3 linked regions of the Styela clava genome follow. The protein of the gene in region 1 interacts with the protein of each later gene in a biochemical or structural test. Links are inferred from orthologs where the notes say so. Each region holds a gene or a part of one and is shown on either strand. Other genes may lie near its edges. The genes, in order: tight junction protein ZO-1-like, kin of IRRE-like protein 1 and junctional adhesion molecule C-like.

Region 1 (11,045 bases):
AATGTAGCACAGAGTAACCCCCCAAAAAAATGAAAAATAAATAATGAATTACCTCGACCTAGGGGGAGACTTTGATCGCGACCTTCCCCTCGATTGCGATCTTCTTCTTGGTGGTGTGCGAGAACGACTGCGACTAGAGCTAAATATAACAAAGACATTAGGTTGTTAATAAGAAATTGAATGATTATTGAAAACGAGTACCTTGTAACAACATGATCCTATTTTATATGTGGACATGCATTTTTTATTTTATGCATTTATAAATACATAACATACAAATACAATATTATATTCTAAAATCATATTTTTAAGTATGGAAAGATTATTATATTCTGAATTGAGTTTAAGCTTAATATTAAATGATACATAGATTTTGAATAGGGAAATACAAGAAAAATAGATATACATAGACTTTATTTTTTAATTTTTTATTTTTACAGATCACAGAAATCAAATTTTAAAATAGGACCTTTTCAGCGTTGCTGCTGTTTATTTTAATTGCTCAAAATGACAGATTTGCAAATAAAACTATTCTATGTGATTCCTATTATTGTCAATATTTTAGCTTCCATCATTGGTATAAAGAATTTGAAATCTCAATACAACAAATTGTGGATATTGTTCTGTTTAGGTTTAAAGTGAATTTCTCAAATCTCAAAATATAAAAGGAGTATTTGAATGTGTATTTTGAATATGAAATGATATAAAATTTATTGTTATTCGTCGTTCTTGTTATTATGTATATATATATATACATCGAGATTGAAAAAATATTAAATTTTACTATTTGCCCATCCTTACATAAACACATACAACGCAGTTGAATGACTTTAAATAGTTCTACATAACGTGATCGCATCGACGCCATTGTTGACACAAGATTTGAAAATCATAGAAAATTACTCATGTGGATCAATGTACCGTAAATAGGTGAGAGCCTATCGCCCGTCAAAAGTAATCAAGTGGTAAAAGTCAGTCAAGCGTGAAATGCTTGTCTGCAAGAGAGAGCTGTTCAGCGCTGAATGACCATACAAATCCTAATAATATTTATATTCAAATATTCAAGCTGATATTCAAGCAAATAGCTGGTTTTAAAAGAAGCGCATAAAATTAAAAATTATGAACAAAATTGATTACCTAACATAACATCTGGCCCTATATTGCCTGATGTTATTCGAGTAAAAGACAAAATTTTATAAATTTTATGACTAAGATAGGTGGATATGTTTGGTTTATTAGATTAAAAACGTTTGAATATAATGTTTACAAATTCTATTAGACATTTAGGTACTTTATATTCAATGTTTACCAACAAAATGCACCAGATTCTAAATCTAATTAGTGTCTATTACTCAATGTCCTTGTCTATATGAATCTAAAATGGGCTCTCCCCAAACAAGAGTTGCTGTGCAGAAAACTTGTTAGAATATTTCTTTATTTATTAATAATGGCCCCAATTTACTAAATAAAATCGGCGAGTCAACAGTTGAAGAAAAATCAAGAACATTTCGACCCATGAGCCTTACATGAGTTAAATATAACTTATTACTGGATTTGAAAAATAATAGATAAATCGTAATATTTTTTACTCCTAATGGCACATTTTTTTTGCGAAAAATGATCAATAGCAATAATAATTTTTCATCTAAAATTCACTATTTCAACACTTATATATCTTAGATTGCAAATTCCACCAAGGAAGCTTTGGAGAAGCAGTCATACAGGAACTACAAACTGGTGCTAAATCTTAAAAAGGTTCACTGGGTAAGAAGCTGGGTGAAAAGCATACTAGTAACATATCATATCATCTATTCTTATCCATTGTTAGAACCTTTTTCAATGTCTACAATTACAGCATAGCCTAATCAAAATGCATAACCAACATTTATAAGACAAAAGGGTTGTTTTACAATGCCAAACTTGACCACCAAAACTGCTTATAACATTTTGTTTTTCTCTTTTTAAAATCGTAACTTTGTACCTGGAAGGCGATCTGTAGTTCCTACTGTGACGGCTTGATCTTGAACGTGAACGACTGTAACTTCTTCCACGGCTCCTTAAAAATAAAGGTCACAAATTTACAAAATAGGAATCAAATAACATTGATTTGATCAATGACGCATTTTGTAATCAATATTAAACCATGGCTTATTTTACCTGTCAATTACAGATCCTAATTATACAGACAATATTTGCCAAATGTGTAGCATAATTTTCAGCATGAGTGAATTTGCCATTCCATGTTATAAATAGGAAATCTTCACACTGATTAAACTTAACACATACACATGTCAATTTATAAAACGATATTACTAACTACGAAAAAAAATGTAATGTCAATATAAATGCCTAAGTTATCATTTAGTGTTTAGTACCGCCCTATATAAGCGGCCACTAATATCTCACGCTATGTACGGTAAGAAGTCATTTATTTGGAAGGACTGGACTCTTTGGTTCAGCATTGTCTACTAATTTATTACACCCTGGATGGGGTGGGGGAATGAGATATGAACCTGAGATGCTTACCTGCTTCGACTTGTACCTCTCCCCCTTGATCTCCTTCTATTTCGTGATGAACTGTCTAAATCACGGCTATGTGATCGATGACGTCGTCGAGGTGATCTATCTCGACTTCTCGATCTGTGGCGTCCATATGATATATTGTCCAGATTTCTGCTTCTGCTACGATGTAAAGGACCAGGTGATGGTGTGTCGCGAGACTCAACACGCACAATAGCTTTCCTTTTGACGGTCTGGAAAAGTTTTGGTTGTATTGATGAATGAATTTTTTGTTTAAAAATGTTGTATATGATGTAAAAAAAATTTCATAAATATTTCAGTAAATTCTGATTTTGTTCCACTAAATTATGTTCACATATCTATGACCATTACTATGCCATTGAAGTTTGAATCCTATATAATTACACTAGACTGCGAAGAACAGCCAAGAATTATAAAAATAAATTTGTCATATATAAATTCGGTTACAAAATATTAGCAAAACATTCAAAAAAAATGAAAAATAATACCCTTTTGTCAGTTTGTATAACAATATTCACTATTGGAAAGTATATTCATATACACATATTTATATATTCCAAAGATTTGTTGTCATATTATAAATTTAACTTCAGTCGAACTATAACAAAAATGATGTAACTAAATACCCCTGTTTTGCCTGCGGGGCATTGACTGCCAGACGTATAATTAGTTTTATGTGTAATTATTGTGCATCGTTGTGCTATAACATTGCAGTGAAAGTTGTTCTATCAAGCGGAAATTCTGTGATTCCGCATAAAGAAATCGTATTTATAAAACAAATACCAGTGTTTCAAAATCAAATAGCTATATTTACAATTTTGACTTTTTTTCCAGAATTTTTCAATTCTCTGACAGCTTGCTGGTGTGCCCATCCATAACAAATTTGATCATTTACTCGTGTCACTGTGTCATTAATCCTGTACAATAAAAGAATAATTTGGAAAAAAAATATTTAATTTTCTCACAAATCTACAAAAGGGCGATGCTTGAATATATGAACATGGAGGCTAAAATGAAGTATGCAATCTGTCACAATAAACCTGCAAAAATTCTAATTTTGATGACATCATCACACACAAAAATCGAATCCCATAAAGCCAACAGAGATTAATGAAATAAAGTAAGAGCGAAAAATATGATCTTCACCCACTGAACATTTATTCAACTTCAATATACATTTCATGATTGGTACACAGGGAATTGTTGTGTATAATTATTGACAACTTCTTTTGAACTATGATAAATTATTTTAATATACAAAGCGGTAAATACTTATTGATCAAGGTGAAGGGTTTTTAACATAGGTCAAGTACAATCATCTGTACCATCATAGCTTAAAAGAAAATGCAATTAACTAAGTGGTGAAGAGTCAATGTTAATTGATTCATATCCATCAAAGATCAAAACGATGTAAGATATTAAAAATACTCATAGTTAAGCTGAGTAATTTTACATTGATAAACTAAAGTGTAAGATATACAAGATATGAGACTAATACAGTAGAACAATTTTATGCCTTAATCATAAATAAACATCAAATATTATACTAACATAACTTAAGATAACACTACAGATGAATAACACAACATTTGGTAAATGCATCTCTTGTTAAAAAAATCATGCACTATTTCATCGGATTGGATTTTTTCGTACATTAGATATGCCTTCCGCTCTGAACAAGGCTCTGCAGAAGCAGGCAGGCTTTCTGTCCGACACTGCATACCGAATTTATTACACCCTGGGTAGGGTGGTGGTCATGGAATTAAAACCCAGGATTTTAACCTGTGATGACCTTATAGTAAATCTAATGTATGATTAAACACTTGGCCACTATAGATACAGATTGTACTATAGGTTGCATTTGTGAAAATCTATAAAACGGTATTATTAACCCTGAACCTTAAATATAGCATATATATATATATATGTATGTGTGCGTGTATTCGAAAACTCTATTAAAAACACACGAAGATGAATATATCATAACAAGTTTGCTGTATCTTGAAACTCTGACTCGTGATTTCTCCACTTTAAAACGGATTTAAATAGAGTGTGTCCAATTTTAGAAAATATTCTATATCGGCAACTTGTCATAACAGTCTATTTATATTCATTTCAACCTTCTAAATTCAAGATTTCACAATTTAACCACACCAGGGTATAAATACAAGTCAAGAAATAACTTACTGTAGTCTATTGAAGGCAGGTCCATGTTTCACAACATCAGAAATAATGATTGCTGGATCACCAGTTGTTACTGCTGGATTATCACGCCCACCACTGATGGCAATTCCAAATCCTACATCCGATTGTTTTGCTATCTCATATGTGTGTTCTTGGAATATAACCTCTTCGCTCATTTTAAACTATTTGTATAAAAACTATTTGTATGTAAAGATATTTATAGTTTAAAAGATAGATAATGAAAAATATAATGCACATAAAGAGACTGAACCAAATGGCATTTTAGTGGTCGCCTTAACTTTGCCCAGAAATCAATCTCCTAGATTTCTGAGTGAGTTATAGTTTGAAGGGTGGTGGAATGAAACAAAACCACCAATGATGGCTGACGAGTTCTAACATTATGAACAGACCTTTTGGCTTCACGAACACGCCAATACCCATGACTATTATGCGATTAACAACTAAAGGGGCCTCCTTCGAAACGTGAGGCTTTTTGTTTCCTGCATGAAATTGTTTATCATGTTCTGTCTGTTCCGATTAATTGACCTTTGACCTACGCAAATGCATCGCCGCGGTCGTTTGGTAGACAGGACTCTGCGTCAAAGCACTAGTTGGGATGTTCCGTTCAGATAATTTTACACTTGTTTGTTCAATTTTCTGTTAGTTGCAAGCTTAAAATCAGGTTTTTAAGCAGTTTCGGTAGGTTTGTGAGCAGGCTCAAATTTTGGCATGTCGTGGTCACTGATTGCACGCCGGAATCTGGGGTTTTGTGTAGTTTTGTACCACGATACCTTGTAGTGTGTGTGGCGCAACAATTTTTCCAAATGTCATTCCTAACTCCCACCTGACCACATCATTCAAAAATTACTTCACTACGACATCACAGTGACATAATAAAGCCACCAAAATTTATGGATGTTGGTCCAAAACACTCAGACGATTAACGGAAGTCGAGCAAGCCATTTACTTGTCGTAACAATCACGATATGAGGAAGCTTGCTGGCGTTAGTGAGTTCGTTATCGCCCGCCCAGAAACCATTTTGGGCGATCATAGCTATGCTTTGGCAAGCTATATGACGTGATTGTGACTTCGTAGTGACAGAATTTTTGGATGGCGTGGTCAGGTGGTGGGTTAGGAATACCATATGCAAAAATAGTCATGACAAGCCCACTAAAATTACTTGTGGTACTACAGTACTAAAATACAAGATGACATATTTATTCATTAACCCTGTAACCCAAATACAGGAAATAATACACTATCCTTGAGCTCGTAGGGGAAGTAATAAAGCCAGAATTATAGTAAGCTACGGCTGTACGGATAAAATGTAATTTCAGAATTCAGGAATTTGCATGCAAACATTGTCTGGTTGTAGGTATGCAGTACTGAAAGGGCCAAATACAGAAATAGCAAAATAGGGAGTCTGGTAGTAGAACTGTAGAAAGAGGTCATTTAGATGATGAAGAAGGATAGGATATACATATTTATCCCGGGGGAGAGGAAAACCGATAAGACAGCTTATCCACATGGCGAACCACGGCCTCTCGTCCGGTTACCATTCCAAGTCGGGTATGGGATTAGTTATATTGTTTGTTTTCGGAAGCATGGACTTGTTGGTGGAGGAAGCCGTAACCGACCAGCGGTTACGTGAACCACCCAACGACGGCGAGGAGTCCAGCAATCGGGTCTGGGATAGTTTAGTACCACATGTACTTCTAGTTGACCTGGCTCAACAATTTTTGAATATGTCAATCCTAACCCCCACCTGACTACGTCAACGAAAAATTACGTCATTTCGTCGTCACAGTGACGTCATAAGGCCCACCGAAGTATGCGGATGGTCGTCCAAAACGCGCAGACGATCACCCGAAATCGAGCAAGCAATTTCTCTCGTTTTCTCATCACAACGATCACGATAGGAGAGAGATTGTCGGCTTTAGCAAGTTCGTTATCGGCGGCGCAGATGACATTTTGGGCGATCGTAATTATACTTTGGCAATCCCTATGACGTGATGATGACGTCGTAGTGACGTAATTTTTGGATGGCATAGTCAGGTGGGGGTTAGGAATAGCATATGCAAAATTCGTTATGGTACGCCCACCGGAAGTACTTGTGGTACTAAACTATACTAGACCCCAGCAATCCTCTCGCACATAACCATCCCTGCATAGGATTCGAACCTGCGAACCCACGCAGAGTAATTACTGAATTAGAGGTGCGGTGGCGAGCGTATTCCTTAACGCTTAGCCCCTTGAGCCACACCGCCGCGCCGAAGCATAGTTTAACAGACAGACAGAAGAACAGCCAGTAGTCGGTAAGTGAAGAAGATTTTTCTTATTTCTAAATCTAACTTCAGAACTTGCTAACCCCAATCCAGCCAATAAATGATAACCACAATCTGACACTCTCCTCACCCTGTCATCAGACATCAAACGATAAAGTCTAGGCGCACATATTAGCAGGTTAATTTGGATAACGTCAGGAATCCTAAAATATATTTTACAGTCTTAGTCAGTTTTGCAGTTTCAATCTATTGACCTACGGCAGTACGGATCTGTTTGAAATTTCGAAAAACAAAACCAAGAATAGACATGTTAAGTCTGTGATTACCGGTAGACTACATTGTTAAGGCAGTACAGAAAGAAGTACCGGTACCGGTATCAACAATATCATCTACAAATCTAGAAGCACTTTATTACAATCCTGCAATAGATGAGTAAATATGTAAATAAATTTGACTAGTCTCCCGTCTCCCTCAGTCTGTAAATCCGCGTCTTCCTGCTGTTGTGTGGCGCTGCCCGACTGCTGCAACCTCACATTCTCCCACATGACGTCATAAAGGATATAACTGTTGTCCAACCTTTATAACTAAATATCGCTCCTGGGATGTATATATATATATATATACTGTTTTATATAACATATGTAAAAATAAAAACCTGTGGATTTCGCCACCGACAAAATGACACCAAGGCACAAGATCACCAGAAATTTACTATGCTGGGCGTGACGCATCTCGGAATTTCACGCTTGGGTCGGTTTATAATTTCCACAAGAAAACGGAGAAAGGTTTACGACAGCCGATCGCGACCTAGCGACAGGACGTTTCTCCACCGTTAACTTCTTGCTGATTGGTTGATGTAGAAAGAAAACAAGAAATTGGTGGTTTGTGAATATCAGCAACTATTTGAGATACGTTCGATTTTTATCCGGAAATGAGGTGAATATTTTAGTTCAAGTGTTATAAAGAGCTAAGATGGCCATCACATAGCAAACCGTGACCCCAATTATGACCAGTTGCTTGAAACTGACATAGGCATACCGAATCGGCATATCGTTGATGTTCAGAGCGAAAAGTGCAGTAGGATATAACCTTGTTAGCAAAAATGTCTTGGACATGCTATTAGAATCTATTAAAAAAGAGGCGCAATTTACTTCTGCTTTTCTAAATTTGGCTCGACATGAATATTTTCGCATTTTATTGCCACTAGGATTGGAAAAAGAAACTGCATTTCACTACCAATCATTAAATTCATATATGTCGAGTGACATATTGTGCAAGTGTTAAACCTGGATGGTTATCGATATCGTACCGGGGCTGCGGCTTAAGATGCCGAGCTCACTGACATCCCGGGTATATGGCGTGATAAAGATTCTTTCCTGGTTTACTGCCAGTTTTATGTGTGCTCGGTAGGGTTGGATTATCCGGATAATGAGAGAGAGAGAGATTTTATTATTTCCTCAACCAAAAAATACAGTCATCAATAATATAGCAACAGCAAATAAAATTGTTTTGGTATGGACAGGAGGAAGCGATACGACCGTACGGTCATCGAGGTCCGCTCCCACCATATACGCTGATGTGATTAAGATTAACACTGAAAGATGAACAATAACAAAACTTGAACTATTACGATAAAATTTTTACAATTAATTTCTTAACAGAATTAGGGATTTTTTTGATAAATGCAATGTTATGCATGTGTGTTTTTAATGTAAGAAAAAAGAGAGGGGGGGGGGGGTGTCCCGTGTTGTTAAATAAAACAATCTAAAGCGGTCAGAATAATGAGTTGGAAATGTATGTAAAAATTACTAAATTCAATGGGTCAGTTTGGGCGATTAAAATTGGCTATATATACACAGTGGATCAAGGACAAAATTATAATGTGATAAGAATGTGTCTGAATGTGAAAAATAATTAAATGCCACTCAGTGATACACAGTATTGAAAAAAAAGTAACATACCAAGAATTTTATTCATAGGTTAGTCATAATCTGAAAGTGTTTGAAAAATTTCATGGACTCAATGTATATGTTTGGCAATTTTACAAATTACGTTCCAAAAATGTTAATACTTATAATAAGTATACCTATTAATAAGTTTTAGCAGATGGGTATTGAAAACTTTAATTAAACAAGAGAGCAGGTGGATTTTGAAAACATTTCTGACTAAAACAGGAGGGTCAGGTTTTGAAAACATTCCTGACTTAGACAAGAGGAACGTTTCGGACTTAAACAAGAGAGCAGATGGGTTTTGAAAACATTTCTGACTAAAACAAGAACAACCGAGAAGTATTTTGCTATTATTATTATTGTGACGGTTAACCGGATAATAAAGTAGCATAAATAATGCATATGCTCATTCGTGATTTTGATATTTTTTGTTAAGTGACGGCTGATATCCCGAGAGCATATGATAAAAACTCTTCTTCAGACTTCTTTGCCTATATTATAGCCATTCGTGAGACGCTGGAGTAAAGTTCACTATCACATCACACAATACGCGAGAACAAATGAGATTATTATGTGATAGGAGAGCGCATTCGTTTTATGAAGTTAGATTGGTTGGGGGTACGAGCAAGGCTGTAATCGAGTTAGTTGAAAAGCTTTGAAGGGGTGGGGTGTGAGGACGGGGCAGTCTAGCCTCTAGGCTAGAGGATGACGCTTTGGTGATGACTATTTTTTGCTGTAGCTGTTTTTGGGATTTGGGTATATTGTCGGGCAAATGGGGCCGTGTTTTGGTTCGGGACTGGACACAACGATAATACTGCACAATCGACGCCACGTAGGCTATGTCGGAATTTGTTTGTGGTCTGGCGCTGCTTGGTGGTATATTTTGATCTTTATATAAAGCTCTGCTTACTGTCCAGCCTACATGGAAGCAGAAGGTGCATCTTGACTGTTTGTCAAAAAACTTCAGTCTCGTTTACACGACTCCACAATTGATGCGTCGTGCTTCATGCATTGCAGAAACAGTAATTAATCCCGCCCCTCTGAAACCCTGTTGCGTGGCCCACAGAGTTTGTCTGTCTTTACAACTGGTGAGTAGATGCCGATTTCTTTCCTTTTTTCCTTCCTCATTTATTTCCCACACCCTCCTTCTTAAGTATCGGAAACATTGCTATCGACTATCGATGGATTCAGTCTCAGCTGTATACTAGCTTTCTCTAGATACTTCTAACCAAAAAAAGTGCATGATTTTCTTCACGTTCAATAATTTTATTTATAGCCTACATATGCGCGTTACATATTAAGTTATTTGGAATGCCTTTTATGAAATTATTTGTGTCCCGCCAAAATATACTTTATTGTTCGTGCACGCAGATGTTTCATTAGCATATGAGCAATAATTAAATTAATTTATATATTCTAGGGTTGCCATACCGCCCGGAAAATTCCGGACATGTCCGGAATTTAGGGTTAAATATTGCGTCCCGAAAGAATTTAAAAAAAGACTCAAATGTCCGGAATTTTATTGCATCTGCAATCGTACTGTGCACACTGCTAATACTACGAGGTTGTGTGGAATTATGATGTAACAGAGCGTTCCCTATCAATGATGTTCACCACTTAGAACAGGGATCGGCAACCTACGGCCCGCGGGCCGGATCCGGCCCGCGGAGCAATATAATCCGGCCCGCGACGCTTCACTCAATTATAGTAACAAATTATAGCTGTTTTGTCGATTATATTCTTTACGCAAAAGAATTTACATGTAGACCAAATTATATTATAACGTAACAAGTATATAATTCACAATTACTCGTTTAATGAGGCTATAATTTAATTATAATTTAGACAAATGACAACAAAACGCAGAAAAGGTGATGCTAAGTGCAAATGGTTTGATGGCGCAAAAAATATTCGAATAGTCAGTCTTCACGCGCTGCTCAAAATTTAACTTCTGATCTGTGTGATAAATTCATCGGTCATTCATTCGATTTTTAACATTATAAAAATATGTGCGGCCCGCCAATGACTTGCAACCGCGAGCAACAAGAGGTTGCCGACCCCTGACTTAGAACTTTCTGATTATTA
Region 2 (10,837 bases), on another chromosome or scaffold:
TTTGAAACACGGAGATTTCAGTAGATACCGGTTGAAACATCTTGGTATAAATATATTGAGCATGGCGGATATTTAAAACAAATCACCAAGAAAGCAACCAGCAGAAGTGATAAATTTCTTCATCAGAAAATGTTCATTTGTATATTTTATTTTCGAAACTTTCAGACTTCTTAAATGTTTTAATGCTATTTCTAATACAAATTCCCAACAAGCAAATGTAGTTGTGCAAACACGTTGGAAGCATTAAATTCGCTTCGTTGACTTCATACTACCAGCAAAGCAACTGTGTTGATTACAAGCGCACAAAAATTTTTTATGTTTTTTTTTGTCATTTGCTGTATACCAGAGTTATATAAGGGAATTTTTGCCAAACAACAATTTATTGCGGATAATAAATGTGTGGTGACCTCGTTCAAGGCGCGTCTTCTGTCGCCTGTTCCATACTTAATTAATATACTGATTTCATACCGTCATATCGCCACCTAGTGCTCTTCGATTAAAATGAATTCTACCCAACGACCGGAACAAGACCAACAGTTTTTAAGGTTCAAATATTCACGTATTCCCCAGGTTGTCATAGTGATTTGCATAATTTCTTAAACAAAAAATGATATATATATTTTTTCTACTCTAATTCATATGTATAATCTCATCTGAAACGACATAAAAATACCATGACGTCATTATAAATAACATTGTGATTTTTGTGTTTATTGACCACCAGGTATGAAACATAAATTTTTCTATTTTTTTTGTACATTTTTGTGTATGGCCGAATACAAATTTCAATTTTTTTTAATTAGCGGTTGATCGAACACGTCAAATTTTTGTTGTTATTTTCCTTCAATCATGACCGCATGCCAATAAATTGAAGCGCAAACGTTTGAAATAAAATCACAGTAAATATTTCAGTTTATAAAACTTCTTTGGCGGAATTATTAATCAGACATAGTGGAGAGGGAGAGTTAATGTCTACTCGCTTTTAACAAACTTTTTTTCAATACTTTGGTGTAGACAGTTTCTTGATTAACTTTTTTCTTTCTTCGTCAAAAAATCAAAATAGGTTTTTTGGGTATAACTATAACGACCTTATACTTTTATGGAGAAAATAACGAATCAAAAAAATACCGCTTATACGATAATTTCACATTTTGTATTTATGCCAGAAATGCACCAATTCTAATGACAGGGTGGTAACGGACATTCCTAGTTTTCATTTATGTGATTACACAAGTTGAATTATAAACACTAAACGCCACTTTTGTTTTTTAATCTTGTCATTGCGTCATTGGATATTTCTGTCAAAACACAGGAATTAAAGGACATATCCATTTATAAAATTGACTTATTGGGTTTATCCTTAATCTTGCATTAAAAACTTCAACAAAATAATTAATTCATTAATGGATCACGTGACTTGCCTGTGTTCAACTACTCTCCCAAGAGCCTTACAAGAACTTCATCATTTATTCATGGCAACTAAGAAAGAAATATGTAATCTTGGACGATGATCGTGGACTAGGCTGTTACCAAGTGAAAACAAAGCAACGTTTTCAGTAGATTGGCCAATGAAAATTTAAGTGACTACTAATCCAACCACAAATGAAGATAATTCATGCACTTGAATAGAAAATAAAAACTTGACTTGAAATTGATGAAGCACGATCGGAACGAGCAGTTCATGCATTATTCCCAAATGAATAAAAGCAGTTAACAGCGTTTGTTAGGAAGAGATGCAAGTCAAATAGAATTCTGGATTCATCTTATAAAACCCCTCTGTTTCGGGTATGCGAACAGAGTAATTTTTAGTGGTTAAATTATATTTCCACAATTAATCAGAAACACCAGTCATACTGCATATATTTTGAACCGGAAAGAGATTTATAGATGCAATGGAATTGTCATAAAGTTGTATATATGACGAGCTTTCAGATTTTTCTTCCAAATTGGCAGACCGTAGCGTTAAGTATACATACGATAATTAATACAAGATTCAATTTACCTAGATGAATTCACGAAACGTATAATAAAGAATAAAAATCAGAATACCAAATTATCACCGATCATAATGAATTTATTAATTTCAAGTTTCTACTCTCAATGATAATCGAAAAGTGAAATACTGCAGTATATTCATTGATCTAATAGTCAAGAGTGAAATTTTAATTGAGTTACGGGTGATGTGCAGACATGTATAACGGAGTTTATAAAAACAATTATAATAGAAAAAGTGTCAGCCCTACATTGATACAGCGAAAACATATATTATCTAGGGATCCGTGATTTTTTTCACATAATACATATTAATACTGTATACATCATATGTCATTCATTATGCTTCGACAAACTGACTGAATAATACCATAATAGACATCGGTCAACCTTCAGATGGCTATTCTAAACATTATATTACAAACTTAAAAGGGATAAAATAAAATCCGCATTTTATACGCCCCGTCGCGCGGGTTTGAAGTTGACCTGAAAATATATACATGAACTATTGACATTGTAAAAAGTTCGATTAGACTTTTTTTCTGTCAAATAAAATCAACTCTCACTAATAAATTTTATCCAAAAGAGCATCTACAGAATTGTTAATGCTAAATGATATGAAATACCTTCAACCAGATAAGTTTTCTAAAAAGAAAGCACAGTTTCGACCATTCATATTTAGTTGTTACTCTCCTTTGAAGTTGGAATAGTACTGGCATGGCAAACTACTGCCCGTGGGCCAAATACGACCCGTTGGGTAATTGAATCTGGCCCACCTAATGATGCCACAACCAAACTAAAACCAAATTTTGATGTTTTCGCTGAAAAATAGCTTCAAGAATTTGTTAAGATTACGATTAAATTTAGTTTTGGCACGAGGTTTATTATTTTCCACTTTTGATTTTGTAACACTGTAAATATTGTTCAGAAAATGTAACTTTTTGCGTCACACTTACGTGGCCCGCCAGTCTAGGTGGGCAGGACTTTTGGCCCCTGGTTCAAAAACCTTGCCCACCCCTGGGCCATAGAAGAATCGAAGCAATCACTGAGGCAGTGATGTATACATGACATCTTCCATCGTTGCACCAGTTAACTAGTTAAAGGCTTTCTTTATAAATATTTTCCTGTTTTTGAAAACGATGGCTCGCTAAAGTGAAAAAATTTACTAATGAGAATACTTCAACCAAACCTAATCGATGACCCATGTCGACACTGGGAAACGCAAGTTAATAGGGATCAGTGATGGGTCAACGTGGGGCTCCTCTTACGAACAAGGGCAATGGCGAAAATGAACAAAAGCTTTTTTATATGAATAATATTAATGAAACCATTCAACCAATTATGCTTTTAATGACATTCTGCAGTGATCGAATAAAGTTGCCTGGGAGCATTTCAATAAAAAATGGACATTAGGTACGGTAAATATCCAATTTGTAGTACAAATGATGGTCGTTTGACAAATAAGTGGCAACAGCAGGAAATGTCATTCGTGTCGGACTCAATGTAACTCATTTTGGTCACGCGGAATTAGTAATAGGAGAAGTTTTAAAAAAAAGTGAGCAGTTTTTTTGTGCAGAGCACTTAATTTTGTCAACGCCGCGCAACCGACGCATGGACTTTCCATTATCCACAATCAGTCATATTTGCCTTGGTTTCCTCTTGTTCAAAATATCATCTCATTCTTGTTATGTCACTGTATATCAATGTTTTCTTGAAGCAAATTAAAAATGAATGTTTCAAATTTGACCAATTTTGAATTATTATGTATTGTTGAATGTTAACCATGTTGATCGTATACAAACAGGTAGAAGTCATATGGCTGAGGTTTATTTTGAGATAAATATAGTAAACTATTAGTTATATATAAATAAGATGATTATATGGCCTCAATCGTTTCTAACAAAACGGCTAGTTAGGTTGCCAAATATAAATCAGGTGTTGATTTTAGACAAGATAATATAGAAGATGAGTATCGATACCGACTATCAAGTGTATATTATGTTTCAAACGTCCACAGCGTGAATGAAAACTGGTTGAATTTGCTATTTTCTTTTCTATGCGTATTTTGAATTGTCCAGTTTTGTATTAAACAGAAAAATAAACTTACCTGTTTTCGAATACATTCATTTTCCCTCAGTTGTTACATCTGTCCTCTTGAAGCAACAAAACTTTCGAACCCCTTCTCATACCTTTTATTTTAACCGGAGAGTAACTATGTTTCAGGTAATATAAAATAAAAATGCAGATAATATATAAATTTTGTTCAGTTTTTAGAAAAAATTTTTTATAGCTGTTTCGAGGATTATTTTGTCAGACAACTCACAAATTACTACCGCAATACCAAATTAAATTTAGTTTTGCTTTGCGCTGCTCCACTTATGGACTTTCGAATACGCCTAATTTAGAAAAAGCATAAAATAAAATGATTTTTATTAAATATTTTCATTGTACTCTTAATACCAAATTTTAAGTTTGGTGTAGAGTGAACTTTTATAAAATAGCTACAACTATGCTAATGTCGTCTCAGTACCGAACCTTAAAATCAAAACGAATCTATATTTACCATTGTTTCAAAGGCCTAACTTAACCCATAAATCAATAGGTAAAAATCTAAAATAAAAGTCATACTAATAATACACTTGAATGCAACACTAACTGAATTTCTACACACATCGAATGAATATTACACTTGATTTATTCCATTCAAACTGAAAAGCTTGTCGAAAAAAATTGATATTTATTAATAAATCTTTTTGAGGAACAGGATATTCCATGCCAGTAATGTAATATTTAATACGAAAATAATCACATCTACTATGGCGCCATTATTGCATCTTTTTCTATCTCGAAAGTTTCGGCCTGGTACATTGAACTCATTCAATGGTAATAAATCGACAATAAACATTCCATGACTGTACAAGATCCAAATCAGCCGTTTCCATGTCCCTTGAGACGAAACATCTACGAATAGGAATGATCCAGGAGTCACGAGACCGCGCACGACGTATTTAGTAGAAGCCATCGGTGGTGGCATGTCGCGATCTAAAGTTTATGGTAACGTGATTCAATGTTGAGAACTTTTAACGTTCGGGCTTGTTAAAACGTTTGTGCTAATCAGTACTAAATGACAAATATGAAAGCACTAAACAAACGACAAACACACACTTCAAGAGGTTCTTTCGATCCGTATCATTTGTTTTATACTCCTATATATATACTAATGAAATTAGATTTAATTTTCTAGACAAAAAATTCGACCAAATTAATTTAGTTGAATTGTGACTGCAAGAAAAAACTGTTAATTAATATATTTTATGGAATTCGAAAAATTCATCAACTTTTTTCTCGGGGAAAATATCTCTTCTAGTCAATAAATGCCTCAGTATAAGCGGCCGGACGTAGGCCTAATCAGATAAATCAAATGAAACTGCCATGCCTCTGTACCAAGTTCGTCATTGCTCATTAATTCATGATCAATGTATGTTCCTCGAAACCACAGCTAAGCTGATGTGGTCGTACTTGCTTGACTTTAACCTCGACCCGACATTTCGTGGCGTACAAAAGTTGCTTTCGGAGTCACCCATAATTGAATTTGAAGGATATGTTCAAGTCGTAATTCATTTCTTATAGATCAGAGTAAATTACAGCAAGACATGCCAACTTTAATAGTAATTGTGCGTTCTAAGTAGAAAATTTTACTTCATTCGAACATAGCCTAACATTAACTGTCAAACTAGTTGGAGGTAAACTAAGTCGGCGATTCGGAACAGCTATTAGCTTATGTTTTATTTCAAGGTTTTGAGAAATCATATTTTCCTAGTAGTTTGGTTGGAAAAATCTAAAAATCACATAAGGCCTAACTAAAACAGGTACAGCTTTGAAAATCAGACTAAACGATGGTCCTTGATCCATAACAACAGATATGTAAAAAAAATCTATTTCTGAAAAACGTGACATACCGTAAGCTACTTTGGTTTTACTGCAGCGATATATACATGGATTCTTTTCATGGAAAAAAGAATTGACCCTCCTATATTCCGTAATTAATACTATACTTACCTATTTCTTTTGCCTAATTCAAGGTTGTTTTAGTGCGTTGGTGCTTGCACAATGGTTCACTGTCGCATATTTCGTAACTACGATAATTAACATGGTTCACCGCGAGGTGGCGAGTGTAAGTCACACTTGGAGTCTACTTAAAAGTAGAGATGCAACGATACTTACGATAGCACCTTGTTGCCGATATTGATCCGATACCAACGAAAAAACGCCGATACCTATGCAAGTTCTGACCGAGTCCGACCTTGCTTAACTCTCGATATCAAACGAGATCGGGTGCATTCAAGTGGTATGGTCGTAGGCCGATACCAGGCCTGCCCAACCTTTTTCGTCTCGCGGGCCACTTTCAAGTGACGAAATTCGTTGCGGGCCGCAAACGTTTGTACCAAACATTAATACTCTACCAGCTAAGTCCTGATTTCGGTGTGGGTAATTTACATAATAAATAAAAGGCAAGTTTATTAACATCAAATCAATCAATTTAATTACTGTTTTCTGGTCACTGAGTAGGGCTGGCAAATAACTCGAATATCTCGTCGAATATTAGAATAGCAGTTCACAATTCGAATATCTGGTAACACGGGGCGTGAACAATGTTTAAATGAGCATAATGTGCGCCACTGTTGCGGGAATATCAAGTTTAGGTGGGCCGTTTCGTAAAATTTGAAACACCAATACAAATATTGAAGTAACATTACAAAGATTTCTGGGCGAACAGCCTATATATACTGATTTGTGACCAATATGCGGTAATGCCGTTAAGTCAATTTTATCAGAATTATTGACGGATACGCAGTGACGATATTTCCGAAATCGTATTTAACCCAAACATTTGATAAAAAAAAATACAAACATAAAAAGACAACGAGTCCCAGGACCAGTACCAAAGATATTGTTGACATTTTATTTTACGCTGGCGATAAAGACGATCAAAGCATACACGTAAGAAAACAATCATAATGAAACTAATTCGCAAATTTAGGCTCCAAATTCATTCCTATAATTGCGCTCAGCGTTCGTCCTCAGTGATCGCACAATATCTTTCGAATTCGTCGAACAGAACGTTCAGTTCTGCGAGAAAAAAAAAACTGACGTCGATGTCCACCAGGGTGCGAGACTTGACACATACGTAATAATAAGAACCGGCATTTGAATGTAGACAGATGGCAGGAATAATCACACCAAAATCAGAAACGTACCTAACCCTATATATTGATATATAACATAGTAAAAACATAAAAAGTCTGCTTACAAACTTTATAGGGCGGGCTGCAAAAAACAGTTCGGCGGGCCGCGGGTTGGGCAGCCTTGGCCGATACCATGTAATTATTATCTTAGGTGTGGAGGTGAGTCTGAGCAGTATTCATAGTACACATCATTTAGGCTTGAAAAGAGATAGGCTAATCCAGATAATAAGAAATTGATGTTTGTGATCCAGATGCATTGTGTACCGAAGCTAGTAATCTCGGTTTTCAATTAGAAAACTCATAGGGTTTGGCTACTATGGATGGTAAAATGAATAAACGTTTACTCATCCAATCAAATTGATACCTCAAGTTACGTGCGCAGGATTTTGTGCCAATATAACGTCGTATTTTACACATTGAAAAATCAACCTGTTCAAAAAATCTTGTTCTCGCTTCTACTCGCGGGGGTGGGGACGAGCATGGCTCATCAACTATAGTCAAATACCACGAACATGATCCCTCCATGAAAAAAAATCGACATCCGTATACTAACTTATCTGTTAATACAATATAGATTAGAATTAGATGATAAATCTTAATATATGGAAAATATCGGTCTACATTTATCCGAGACCGATACAAATACAGAATAATGGCCGCTATTGCCGATGCATCTCTACTGGAAACAGTTTCCTCGGGCCAGACCAGCTAATAAATTGAATTCGACTCCCGAGCCACGGGGATTCAAAACACGACTCTCACTTCGAAGCCAAATCTAAAACAGCGAAAACAAATCTTGGGTGCCGGTAGTGTCACTATCATTTACTTATTTGCGCATGTACTCTATCTATTATGATTATCACACAGGTATATATGGCAGCAACTGGATAGGATTTTCATGTAGGGAGAGGAAAGTCAATAGAACGACTTAGTCATGTGGCAAGCCATGTCCTCTGGTCCGGTTCCTAGTTCATGTCGGGTATAGAAATAGTTGGCCAGTTACACAACAAAACGCAGCCGACCTCCAGGCTCCAGCCCGTCGGCCGGAGGAAGAGATCAGAAGACACAGTTTTTCCACTCTCCACAGTCTATAAACATGAAATATATATACGATATATACAAAATATAAACGCGGAAGTTATGGTCCGCGACAATGGAGCTGATTGATTGACACCCTGGTATACTTTGGCAGCGACTGCCAAGTTTGTTTTTGTTTTAATAATAACTTGCGCAACTTGTGATTTCCAAGAGAGATTTTCATCAAAGACAACTCCTAAGAATTTTATTTTACTCACTCTTTCAATTTCTTTGCCATTGAGCAGCAAAGGTTTTGAGCAACTCGCATTTGCATGTCTGCTTGGATGAAATAATACTAATTTGGTCTTATGGGCATTAAGAGATAATTTATTATTAACCAACATTCACTTATGAACGTTGGTCAAGTCTATGTTTCCTATTATGAATAGTTTTTTCCCCGTACATAATCGAATCAGTGTCTTCAGCAAACATAATCGACTCAGAGCAGTCTAGATACCCACCTAGGCATGTCATTTATGTATGCTAGAAAGAATAATGGGCCAAGTAAAGATCCTTGAAGAACTCCGTGCTTCATGACGCAAATATTATTAGAGAATGAATTGTCATATTGCACAACTCATTTTCTTTCTTGTAGGTAGCTCCTGATCCAATTAAATGGGACACCCACAATTCCATAGTGACCGAGCTTACTTAAAAAGATAGAGTGGCCAATGGTGTCAAATGCCTTCGAAATATTCCAATGGACTTTTCCCCGAGCATCGACTTCCTTGTTTACTTTGTGACATTGGCCAATCAGCAAGGTGCAAAAAGTGACGTAACAATGCTCCCTTTCGCAACCAATCAGACACTTTTCTCACTCAGACAAATTTTCAAGTTTTTGAACTCCATTCGTTAGTTTTCAGTTGTTCGGAAACTTAAATATAAATCAGATAATTCAATGATCACTCTGACTTCTTGGTAGTTTTAATTTATTTGCAGTAATGAAAAATTAGTGTAGAATTAGCTAGCATATATTAGGCTAAAATTCTTCACCGGTACTTTTAAAAAACAGATTGTTGTATGTGATGAATCATGATGATGGTTTGAAACACATACCCCATTTTACTGGCGCCAATTTGCAAAAGCACTCTTAAAATAGCCCCGAAAATTTTGCGATGGTAGAGTATAGGAGGAATTTTTCGAGGGTCAAAGGTCGGGGAAAGGTTCATAGCATGTTGTTCGCCTTCAAATGTCTTTAAGTTATGTACTAAAACGACGGTAAAAGACTAATAGGCCAATAGTTTCCAATATCTGAAATGATACTCGTTTTAAAAAGAGGAAGCTTGCTACCTTGAAGATTTCGATAAATATTCCACTAGATAGTAATAATATACATGAAAGGACTTGATGAGCAGCATGGAGAACCTCGTCGAGCATTTCGTGAGATTGTAGCGTACCGGCAGTCTATGAAATAATTATCCAAGTTCAGAATACAACCATACAATAAAGCGACAAGTACCAGGCAGCACAATGCAAGAAAACAGAATATACACAATAAAAACACTTTGAACAGTACTGATAATAGCTAATTCCCTGACAACAACCAAAAATGCAACGCTAAAATAACTGCAATGGCAATGTACTGAAACAATATTATCAGCCTACTGTCTAGCTCTAGCATAAAAACATCCAACAAATCCCCTCCGGAGACCAGAGGCACTCCCACAAACACTCGTGACCAGGATCTAACCGAAAACAAACCACACTGTACCGGTACCAACCCCATCACGCTAACAGACACACCCCGAAGACAGACCGACCGACAGACCCCCAGTGTCCCCAATACCAAACATGGAAACAATACCACACGACATCAAATAACAGATATAACGAGAATATCGGTCAGAGACCGAAGACTTATCGATCGAAAGTTAGGAGATCCCCCAAAACAGCGCTCTTACTCCATAGTGACACCTTGTGTCCCAATACTAATTATTTAATAACTCGCTAATTATACGACATAATTCATCCAAAATCAATAGGCTTCGGGTCCGACATGTGATGAATGCAAAATCTGGAGCAGATTCAATCTCGCTTTTGTGAGATATCGCGTGCATCTAACAGACAGACAGACATACAAATACCTATCAACATACTTACCGATTAAAATCGATAAGTAACAAGGGTCGTCACAAGATGAAAAAAATGAGGCTCGAGTTTGAAAACATGGCGGTACCAATTTGTGCGTTTACCACAGTAGGCCGCGAGACGAGACCGTTTATCTTTCAGTTTCGTAGCGCACATAAGGGAACTACCTGGAAATAATTTTAAAATGTTCCTTAGAAATTCAGTGAGAAATAATACCTTGTTCCCATTTCCAAAAATTGCACGTTTTACGAAAAACTCGCTTTTACTACAAAAAATATGTGCTACCCTCTGTCCTATATTCGCCCGATATAGAAAATAATGACCGTTTGTGTAATGCACGTTTGTGAGAAAGAGGGGGAAAGTAGCCAATTTTACTGAAGTCAGTTTGTCTGAATTCATATTTCAGACTGTGATTTATGGAAATCAGTGTAGAT
Region 3 (10,467 bases), on another chromosome or scaffold:
ACTTTTATTTTTTGCTATGACGTCTTCAAAATTATGTGGTGCTACCTGTCCATATATTTGAACATAGCTCTCTTGTTTAGTTTGTATCGAGAATCTTCTGGATATATCTGGTCGCCTCAACGTACTTAGACGTGGACGTTTTTGATAAATTTTGTTTCATATATTTTTTCATTGTTGTATTAATTACTGTTCGGCTTATTTAACCACGGGTGTCGCTACTCGAAATTAACCCGTATTGGTTTTTCCGTTCCGTTTATTTTACAAAGTGTATATTCTGTATGGTGTGAAAATAAACTTAACTTCTGATTCTCTGCTCTCTCGTGCGTAGGCGATTTGTGATTATAATAATATTTATAATTTAATGTTACGAAATAATCAAACCCATGTATTCATTTGTATAAAGCAGAACAACGTTTATAAGCGCGTTTTCTCATGTCGTCCAAATATGGAAATATATACGAAAGAGACGTTTCTCCATACTGACAAACAAAGCAGACGACGATTACGTCAACATCGCGCTTTTTTCGTACGGGATTTTTGAATGTCTTGTACTTCTCGCCATAACGCGCGTCGGGCGAGTTCTCGATCCGTAACGTTGTCGTGGGCGTTACTTTTTAGGCTTCGTGTGTAGATTTGGGCTTTGGGTCATTATCTGTCATACGTGAGGCATATTAAGTAGTTAAATTTACCCCAGAGTGAGTTTTAGATCATTTGTTCACCAGAATTCGGGATTAATCGCTGCCATGTCGGTTTCTCAAAAATGTAGAATGCATGCCAGATTTTTGTTTGTTTCGTTAGCTGAATAGTTACATTCCTCGACTGTAGATAGGTGCTATCATTTGTGCGAATAATGTGCATCGCGTAATTTAAAAAAAAAATACGGCATTTTATCGAAAATAATACACCTAATTTAACACAATCAGACAGTGTACATACGTGATACAGTGACAGGGAAATCTTAGGGGTACAGCAACCTGGCTACTTATTGTTCTGTTAGTATTATACATATAACAGTAGTCGGAATTCAAAAATATATATGAAAAAATCGAATTTGGTTCGCAATACACGTCATATTTACTATTATAGTCTACGGGCCACAATACCGATACCGGTATAGTTCTTTGAAACGTTTCGTTGCTTCGCCGTTTTCAAATCTTTTGTTTACACCGCGCTGTTAGCAATGGCGACCGCGGAATGTCTTGTGAACTTTTTTTTAAAACAATATTGATTAATTTTGTCTGCTCCAAGTGACATTATTGCCAAAGTTGTATTGATCTTCGAATTGTATGACTAAGTTAGTTAAACATCAGAATTGTTCGGCTACTTAGCGTTACCACGATTATATCTCACTGCTTGATTGGAAGTGAATTCCCAAAGGCGTCGCTGACAGGAATATCTTAATTAGATGTATACCGTAACTTAGTTTGGACTGCGATATTTTTTAGTAGGGGCTGGTTTATTATGGGCATGCCTGTTTTATTTTGTTGGCGTTAGTATTATAGTACTTTAGTATAACAGTATTATCAGCCTTCTGAATATCAGTGTACTGCTGTACTGGTACGGTACATTCATTCCATAACTCTGTCAATATCTGCATATGATAGTAAGACTGGCAGGCTGGGGAAATGTAAGAACAGCTGGCTGTATGTGGTCACTGTGCAGCAGTGTTCCCCTATTCAGCTATTGCAGTATTGTAGTATCAGCAATTAGTATATTTATTTGGGTACTGTAGCCACTGACAGACTGAACTATGAAACTTGAAATATTTCTAGCTCAATAACAAATGAAATGGCGGTGTGGCGCATCGTGCTAAGCTTTAGGAATACGCTTGCCACCGCATCTCTGATTACCTTGCGTGGGTTCGAATCCCATGCGGGGATGATTGTGTGCGAGAGGATTGCTGGCGCCGCCGTAGGGTGGTTCATGTAACCGCTGGTCGGTTACGGCTTCCTCCACCATCAAGTACATGCTCCCGAAAACAAAATAACTGGCTAATATATTCAATACCCGACCTGGACTGGTACGGTAACCGGGCGAGAGGCCGTGGTTCGCAATATTATTAAGTCGTCTTATCGACTTTCCTCTCCCCCGGGATAAATATGTAAATACTATCTTCTATATATCTAAATGGCAAGTACCGTAGCACATCACTGCATTACTGAAAAAGATATAAGAAAAAGAAAAATTTTATTGTCTGTATCAGTATTTAAACCATTTTATCTTCGATTGTAAAAAGAATTCACTTGAAAAACTACAATTTTCTAAATTGTAAAAGTTATCATTAAATTGCCTAACTTCAGTCCATATCTTGGCTAAAAATCACCGTATATATGACCAATTTCAATTATTATAGCTAGCGCTGTTATGTCAGTATGTGTAGCCTACATATATTCTCAACTTTTTTAATGTTGCTTCATTAGTTTTTTGCTGAAAAAATGGAAATTTTGCTGAAAAATGACTGTTTGCTACAGAGCAGTGAGAAAAATGACTGTAGGAAGTTAAAGCAAAGAAAGACAATGGTCAGATATCCAGAAAAATAGATCATTCTAATAGAATTCAATAAAAATGTTCCAATAGACCAGAAACTTGCAGGAAATGTTAACTTGGCACCACATGCAGACATGAATGTTTTAATGAGCATTTTTTGCGCCATTTGGACAATAAATGATATGTTGTCTTTGACTCTGTTTATCTTTTTAGTTGGTTATGTGTTTCATTTCCCCACTGCGGTTTTTCTTAGGGGAAAGTGAAGAAATAATTTAACATAACCCAAAATATTGGCAAGGTAAAAATGAGATGATACCAAGTACAGAAATAAAACATTCTCGGAAAGCTAATCAGGCGGACTTGATTTCAATTTTAACTACATTTTGGATTAGGCGAGTTTGTGCACGGCAGCAGGGTTTAGTTTCATGTCAACATACCTGACATAAAAATCACAAATACTGAAATAAATAAAATTTTAAAACATGCTTCAATCATGTTATGACTTTTATTTTATTAACTTTCAGTTCAAACAAAATGGAAAATTTTCCTTTTGGGCAAGTTTTAAATTCCATTTCAACCAAACATATCGCAGCATAAATAATAGCCTATAAATAGAACAAGCAAATGTGTAGTATTGCTGAATGCGTATGAGTCATATCATAATATTGCAATATAAAAGCACGTGGTTTCATTGAACATATGAATTGCATCATACAGGATATATTAAAGATGTTGTGATTGTTTTATCACTAATCAGCTGTTTAGGATAGGTTTTGATACATCATTTGGCGGAGGAAACCTGACAAGATGTTAATTTCGGAAATTCTCGCTATTCTTATGTTAGTAATGAGATTATCTAGGACAAAATTTACTTCAAATTCAAGCAAAGTAAAAACGATTAGATGGCAATTGCTGATGTTACTACTAATGTTAGGGTTGTGATGAGCAATTTGTGATTAAAATTTTATTCATATACATCTTGGGGAGAGGAAAATCGAGAAATTGCTATTGACAGTTTGTTAGGTAGGTCAGTACAGCGCACTATGCAAATTCCAAGAATTTCCCTCCATTTGGCTCAATAAAACAAACACTCTATATGTCTCACAAACGAGGGGCGTCCGGGACCACGTCAGATGCTTCATATCGCGCCATGCTTGTCTCAATAATAATCTAAATTAATCGCGGCCATCACATGACCAAACTTGCTGTTTTTTGCTAAAAACTCTCGAAAGCTACAGTACAATTTTTTTTCCTTTGGTAAATAGGATTGTCTGATCATCTGTAAAATGGGTTTCTCTGAAACGGGACAATGTCACCCGATTGGTATAGTGTGCCGTACTGTAGGTAGTAGTAGCTGGTTTTAGGTAAAATTGAAGAAATTCATGGCAGCATGTGGAGATGAAAGGCAATGAGATCTAAATTGATTGAGTTATTGCTATTAGGGTACTTCGGATTGGTTTTAAGATAGAATGTATTATCTCGGTCAAGAGGAAACGCTATAAGATGTTCTAGCTACTGAGACATCATTGCTTTGATAAGTTTATGTAATGATGCATGATTTTCATAGTCGTATCGGCGAGGAGGAAAACTGAAATATAAGCTCAATAGTGCTGTGGATCTGCAGGTTTATGTGTTTGGAAAATGCTGTTAAAAGTTGCGACTTCAACGCTAAAATTCCTATTTAATTGTAGTGTAGTATGAAATGAAGTTTTTGGTTTATTGTCACCTCAAAGTTGCGGGTCTCACCGTTGTAGTGACATAATTTTTGGATGACGCAGTCAGGTGGTTAGGATTGAAATATGCAAAATTTTGTTATGCTGCACCCACTAAAAGTACTCGAAACTACACTAGACTGAAAGTTGCTTTGGCTGTTTGTGTGCTATGATTGGACAAAATAACTATGTGAACTGCTAATGTAGACTCGGTAGTTAGTTACTGTAATTGAAGTTCGGTAGTCCCGTAAATTAATGTGTGTACCAGGTTAGGGCTAGGACAAAATTTTATTCTGATTTTTCTTATTTGAGTTTTATTACGAGTTTGGAACTGTCTGTGTTAGCCAAGTGAGTATAACCCCTGTTCATAGGAGTGGGAGTGGTGACTCATCTAAGGCCCATGGGCTGGGGCCACGGCCCATCGAATTGGGCCTCGGCCCATCAGGCTATGGGCCGCGGCCCATCAAGTTGTGTAAAGGGATTATTCACTTGGCTATCACAGACACTCCCCGAACTCGTAATAGAACTATAATGTGAAAAATCTGAACAAAATTTTGTCCTAACCCTAACCTGGTACACATACTGCAGGGGTATCCTTTTTGGTAGTTTGGTATTATGCTTTATTTTTATCTAAATGCTTATCGTAAGAAAAAAAATTTGGTAGCATCCCACGATTTTTTTTGGTTCGAATATTTACAATTTTGTAAAAAATTGAAAATTTTGGTAAGATAATTGAATTTTTCCTGATGGGGCCACGGCCCATGTGGCCCAATTAGATGGGCCGTGGCTCCGGCCCATGGGTCATAGAGGAGTCACCACCCCTGTAGGTTCATAGGTTTCAGTCCCTTAAAGTAGGCAAACAAAATTAGTTACCTCTCTATTGGTACACACATTTCTGGGGCGCCGAAGTTTCTACTGAGATGAAAATGTGACTTTCTAAAGAGTTGTTGAACTAAGGTCTTCAAGGTTTTAATATCAGTTGATTTTCAAACTCACTAAAACAAACATTTGCTCAGGGTGAAAGTTGTGTAAAGGGACTGAAACTTATGGGCGGGGGGGATTATTTACTTAGCTAACACAGCCAGTCCCTGACTCGTAAGAGAACTAAAATAATGAAAATCGGAATAAAATTATGGCCTAACCCTAACCTGGTACACATACTACGGGAGAACTAGTTTTCTTAGAGGGAACACCACTGAAAATATTATAAGGCATTAAGTTGTTATATTATTATATTATAAGTTATTGAATGATTAATTCTTATGCCCAATCTAATGTACCCCTCGAAAAAGCAAAACCCTATAAAGCCTATAACTTGACGAGTCTAATTTTTATTTCAACAGAGTTTATCAGCTTTTACGCTCAATTAAGTGCGACTTCTAAGACAGATTATTAGGAATGCAACTTGGATTTATTCTGTGTGGGAACTGTTTTGGATTTATTAATCTGTGTGGATTTATTCAAAGACAATAATGGGATTACTACTTAGGATAATTTCAACGGCTTTACTAATACAAGGTACGGTTCTAGTTAATGATTATTAAAATTTTAATACATTCTAAATCAGATAAATTTAGTCATAATCATAGTCAAGTTTATTTTTTCCATCCAGTAAAAAAAGTTAACATGCAAAATTAAGACGAATAAATAATATTGAATACACATTATACTGAGGAAGGGAAGCCGCGGGGAACCCAAGCTGGTCATCAAGCAGCGACACCCAATGTTCTAATATCTAGGACAGGGGTGGGCAACCTTTTCCGGCTCGCGTGCCAAAATCGACCAAATTCAATGACAAAATTCTTACGAGTGCCGACCCAAATTGTCGAGAGCTCACTCAGTTGTGACGTCATAATATATTTCTTTGAAGCCATATGTCATGAATGGACAAAAAGAATTTGAATAAATAACGGATTGTTAACAAACAAAAGTGATTAAACGGACGCAGAGTTTCAACAGATAATTCAGAGTCTTAAAACTTTTTATCTGAAAAAAATGTTTTTGTTTCTGAAAGCTCGCTCGCGTGCCGAATAAATGGGCTCGCGTGCCAAGTTCAGCACGCGTGCCAGGGGTTGGCCACCCCTATTCTAGGATATTCTTTAGTTTACGCTCATCTTGTGTATTTGCATTAAAGATTAAACACAGTGATACCTAGATCATGGGGTGCGGAAATTTAGGACCTTCCAGCACTTTTTTCGTGCGGCCGTGAATGCTGCAACACATTTTTCCCCTTCTGCTTTTACATTAATTTCAGCGCTTAAATTCAATTGTTCTTCCTATACTCGCGTCATCTTCTAATCTTTCAATGTTATTCAATAACGGGGGCCCATACCAAGGGGGCACACAGAGCTGTTGGAGAGGGGCCCCATGCTAGGCGCAACTGATTGTGCTATTTCATTTACACATAAATTCTCCCTGTTCTTCCTAGCTTTATTGCTTGATAAGGTTACTTCACAACACCCTGTTCAACATGAATTGTTTGAACATAATGGGATTTAGAATCAGACAATCAAAAGTAATACTATCAATACCATCACAGGGGGCCCATGGGTCCTAAAATCCCCTGGGATGGGGCTACAAGTCAATAAAGGGGTGGAACTACTGCCCTAAACCCTAATATAAATAGTTACCATATATATTTAAAATATCTAATCACATAAATTTATTATTATCAGTTGTTTAGAAGGCTTGCATCACTGAATTTGGCTGGGCTGATTCTTTCTATGTTTTCCATTCAGTCAGTATATTTGTATCCACTGGCATAAAGGTATAAGGAAACGGTCTATTTCGACATGGATGACTAAACATATTTTGGTATTCCCGAACTATGTAACCAAGATGGCGGACGACGAAACGTAGTATGTGTACCAGGTTAGGCTTACGCCATAATTTCAGTTACAAATACTACAGGAGCCACTTGGCTAGTCTCTGAACTCGTAATAGCACTAAAATAAGGAAAATTAGAATAAAATTATGGCCTAACCCCCTCCTGGTACACATACTACGTTTCGAGTCCGCCATCATGGTTCACATACTTCAGGAGTACCCATATTTGGGTGTTTGAATTGACTCAGAATTTCTTTGAATGGTGTAATTATATAAAATAATGCAAGCTGATATACCGTATTTTCTCGACTATACGCCTATCACACGGATAAGCCGACTCCCTAATAATAGCTTCAAAATAGTGAATTTATAAAAATTCGCATATACGCCGTTTCCACAAATCGTAACACGGCGCACGCATCTATTACAGTCAATGGTGTTCAATTCAAATTTAATATTCAAATATCGTGATTCGCTACCTTCTTGTATATGGCACACACATTCTAACAGCGAATATGGTTCTACCGAAAACGCCATGCTTTTCAGACTGACAAGAGACATGTTCACCTGGTCGGATAGCAAGACCTGTTTGCCAGTTGGGAGACAAATTTACGAACCCGAGTTGCCAAAGTACGACTGAGATTGCCATGACGACCTAATTAGTTGCAATTTCGATCCCTTTTCTGCGGAACATTCTAAAGAAACTCGCGGAACAGCAGTGTTCCGCTGAACACAGTTTGAGAAAACGTTAATCTAGGCCAGGGGTTCCCAAACTAGGGGTCGCAACCCCAAATTGGGTCGGAGTGATAAGTAGGTAGGGTCGCAAACAGTTCGTGGGGTCGCTGAGGTATGGTAGAGGATGGATGTACAAATCATCTAAGATTTGACAAACCATGTTAAATTTAGCAGTTTGTACCATGGCTTACTGTAAAACAGGCCCATAGGCATCGCTCTATGCTTAAGCTATAGAAAATGTACGTGCTTATTATGACATCACTGTTCGGTTTTAGCTTATTTTACTTCATACCACCACATGACCAAACTCAAAAGTCCAGGGAAAGAAGCTGTGAAGTTTCATGAAAAAAATATATATATTGACCTGGGGTCGCACTGGACACTTGAAAGTTGTCTTTGGGGTCGTCCTGAAAAAAGCTTGGGAACCCCAGTTCTAGACTAATGGTTCTCAAACTTTTCTAAGCCATCTTTTTAGAATTTGTCAAGTCTCGCGCCCCACCTCCAAAATAACTAGCTAACAATAAGCTACAAATAACAGATAGATAGTAAGGCGAAAGTTCGTTTTATTAGAAAAACACATGGAAATACGTGAATGGAATCACAATATCTAAACAGTAAGGAAATGTAGATATCCAATAAAAGGCGGCAAGATCAAATCTAACAAGTATTTTTATTTTTGATTAGCTTCACGCCCCCCAAAAATTGTCTACGCGAGCCCCACTGTATGAAAACCACTAATCTGGTCTAATTATTTTTGTATTTTTCTCTTGGTGAAAAATATTTATCAAATTGTATTTAGCTACTTTTGGAGTCAGAGTGAGTTTGGAAAATGGACAAACAGGAACTGCAATTAAAACGGAAGTACGTGGCCAATCAGTTTTATTGAAATGTAGTGCAACTGCTTCTGTGCAGAGTGGGGAACCAAGGTGAGCATTATTTACAATAGGATGGGAGTTACATAAATATCCAGGAGAGAGAAAAAACGATAAGACGACTATATCATATGGCGAACCACGGCCTCTTGTTCGGTTACCATTCCATGTCGGGTATGGGATTACTATTAGTTTTCGGGAGCATGAACTTGATGGTGGAGGAGTGGTTACGTGAACCACATTACGACGGCGAGGAGTCCAGCAAATCCTCTCGTACATGACATCCCTTATATTAAACAAATTTAAAATTGTTTTGTCGCGAGAGAAAAATCTATGCTTGTTACAGCTTATGAAATAGTTGTTCTAGTATTTGACTATTTCAGTTTCAGTTTCAGTTTGAAAAATAAAGTAGTCTAGCAAATTCAGTAATTGAATTTTGTCACTTTTTCTAATGCTGAGTAATCGTTGAATTCAAACCTCTAAAATCAAAAATTCGATACATTGAATATAATTTCTTCTCGCTGTTCTGTGCATTTCTGGAACTTAATGTAATCTTCTAGAAGAATAGTTAATTTCTATCATGCACGGAATTCCTTTTGAAATCATAAACTAAAAGCAGAACTTTGAATGTTTCAACTTTTATAACCGGTAAAAAAGCCTAATAGAAAACTAATTGTTGAGTTTGCTTAGGCTTTTCGACTGCGTTCAAATTTTCTCATTCCTTCGTAATAAAGTTTATATTGTTTACAAAATCTTTGGTACTCCCAAGTCCCAGAGTACGATTGTTTACCAGGTTGGGGTTAGGCCATTTTTTATTATTTATTCTGATTTTCCTTTTTTTAGTTCTTTCACGAGAAGGGGACTGTCCGTGTTAGCCAAGTGAATATATCCCCTGCCTATGGGTTTCAGTCCCTTTACACAACTTGTTGTAAAGTAGGCGAACAAAATTAGTTACCTCCATACTGGTACACACACTTCTGGAGCCCCGAATCTGTAGTGTTTTTATTGATCGCATTTATCAACAGCACTAATAATTTCCACAATTTATATTTGGCTACACATTCTACAAAGGTTTTCACTTATGCTACCCATTTAACCCCTATTTATTGTTTGATTTTTCAGTCTCGAATGGTTGTATTCTACGGTTCCTAACTCCGCTGGAACGCATATATATTACCAAAATAAGATTGTTGATGGACTCGCAGACAGATTCACACTGGAGAACCCATATTCTATCGTCATTAAAGATCTTGTTTCGGCAGATACAGGTAATGTGTTTGAAAATCTTCTTCAATATTATACTAAGAATAAGCTTTCGTTTCTAAATAACATCTTCAGAATAAACAAGATACATGGTGTCCATGAAGTTTTGAAATTTTTTGAAATTGCTGAGGTAGTTTATTGATACCATGTATTGTTTTGGCCCTCACAGATGTATTGAGTGAAGTAAAAATACTTGAACAATTACTGATTAATAAACAACAAACTTGGTTAAGATGTATTGAGTACTGACTTCATAAAAAAATTGAAATTGTAAAGGGACTTTATGGACACCCTGTATAACTTGATCAATCGATGAATCTCTTTTCTCGATAATATAATCGCCCATATTCTATCATCATTAAAGATCTTGTTTCGAAAGAATATTTGATAAGGTAATTTTAAGATAAGTTTCAGATTCCAAATATTGTGATTTATATTTTAAATTTTTTTTTATTTTAATGCGTATATTCGCAGAAAAAGCCAGTGCAAAACCCTAAATGGCAATCCTGATTTGCATGGCCAAACACGTAATTTTAAACTTGATTTCCACAGGCTTCTACACATGCCGAGTG

What was found.
Region 2: the proteins of tight junction protein ZO-1-like (region 1) and kin of IRRE-like protein 1 form a complex in vitro, tested with the Homo sapiens proteins (3 studies listed by BioGRID and IntAct, with this or other methods). The link is inferred for Styela clava from reciprocal best matches to the Homo sapiens genes TJP1 and KIRREL1.
Region 3: the proteins of tight junction protein ZO-1-like (region 1) and junctional adhesion molecule C-like form a complex in vitro, tested with the Homo sapiens proteins (2 studies listed by BioGRID and IntAct, with this or other methods). The link is inferred for Styela clava from reciprocal best matches to the Homo sapiens genes TJP1 and JAM3.

Annotation. Positions count from the first base shown.
Region 1 is NC_135250.1:11,488,607-11,499,651, forward strand, and holds the start of tight junction protein ZO-1-like, read right to left. Parts: upstream 4,933-11,045; 5' UTR 4,902-4,932; coding exon 4,729-4,901; intron 3,459-4,728; coding exon 3,356-3,458; intron 2,754-3,355; coding exon 2,527-2,753; intron 2,057-2,526; coding exon 1,982-2,056; intron 140-1,981; coding exon 53-139; intron 1-52. UniProt on the Homo sapiens protein: TJP1, TJP2, and TJP3 are closely related scaffolding proteins that link tight junction (TJ) transmembrane proteins such as claudins, junctional adhesion molecules, and occludin to the actin cytoskeleton.
Region 2 is NC_135253.1:5,789,990-5,800,826, reverse strand, and holds the start of kin of IRRE-like protein 1, read right to left. Parts: upstream 4,207-10,837; 5' UTR 4,100-4,206; intron 1-4,099. UniProt on the Homo sapiens protein: Required for proper function of the glomerular filtration barrier. It is involved in the maintenance of a stable podocyte architecture with interdigitating foot processes connected by specialized cell-cell junctions, known as the slit diaphragm.
Region 3 is NC_135253.1:22,953,588-22,964,054, reverse strand, and holds the start of junctional adhesion molecule C-like, read left to right. Parts: upstream 1-5,545; 5' UTR 5,546-5,671; coding exon 5,672-5,717; intron 5,718-8,559; coding exon 8,560-8,686; intron 8,687-9,754; coding exon 9,755-9,900; intron 9,901-10,447; coding exon 10,448-10,467. UniProt on the Homo sapiens protein: Junctional adhesion protein that mediates heterotypic cell-cell interactions with its cognate receptor JAM2 to regulate different cellular processes. Plays a role in homing and mobilization of hematopoietic stem and progenitor cells within the bone marrow.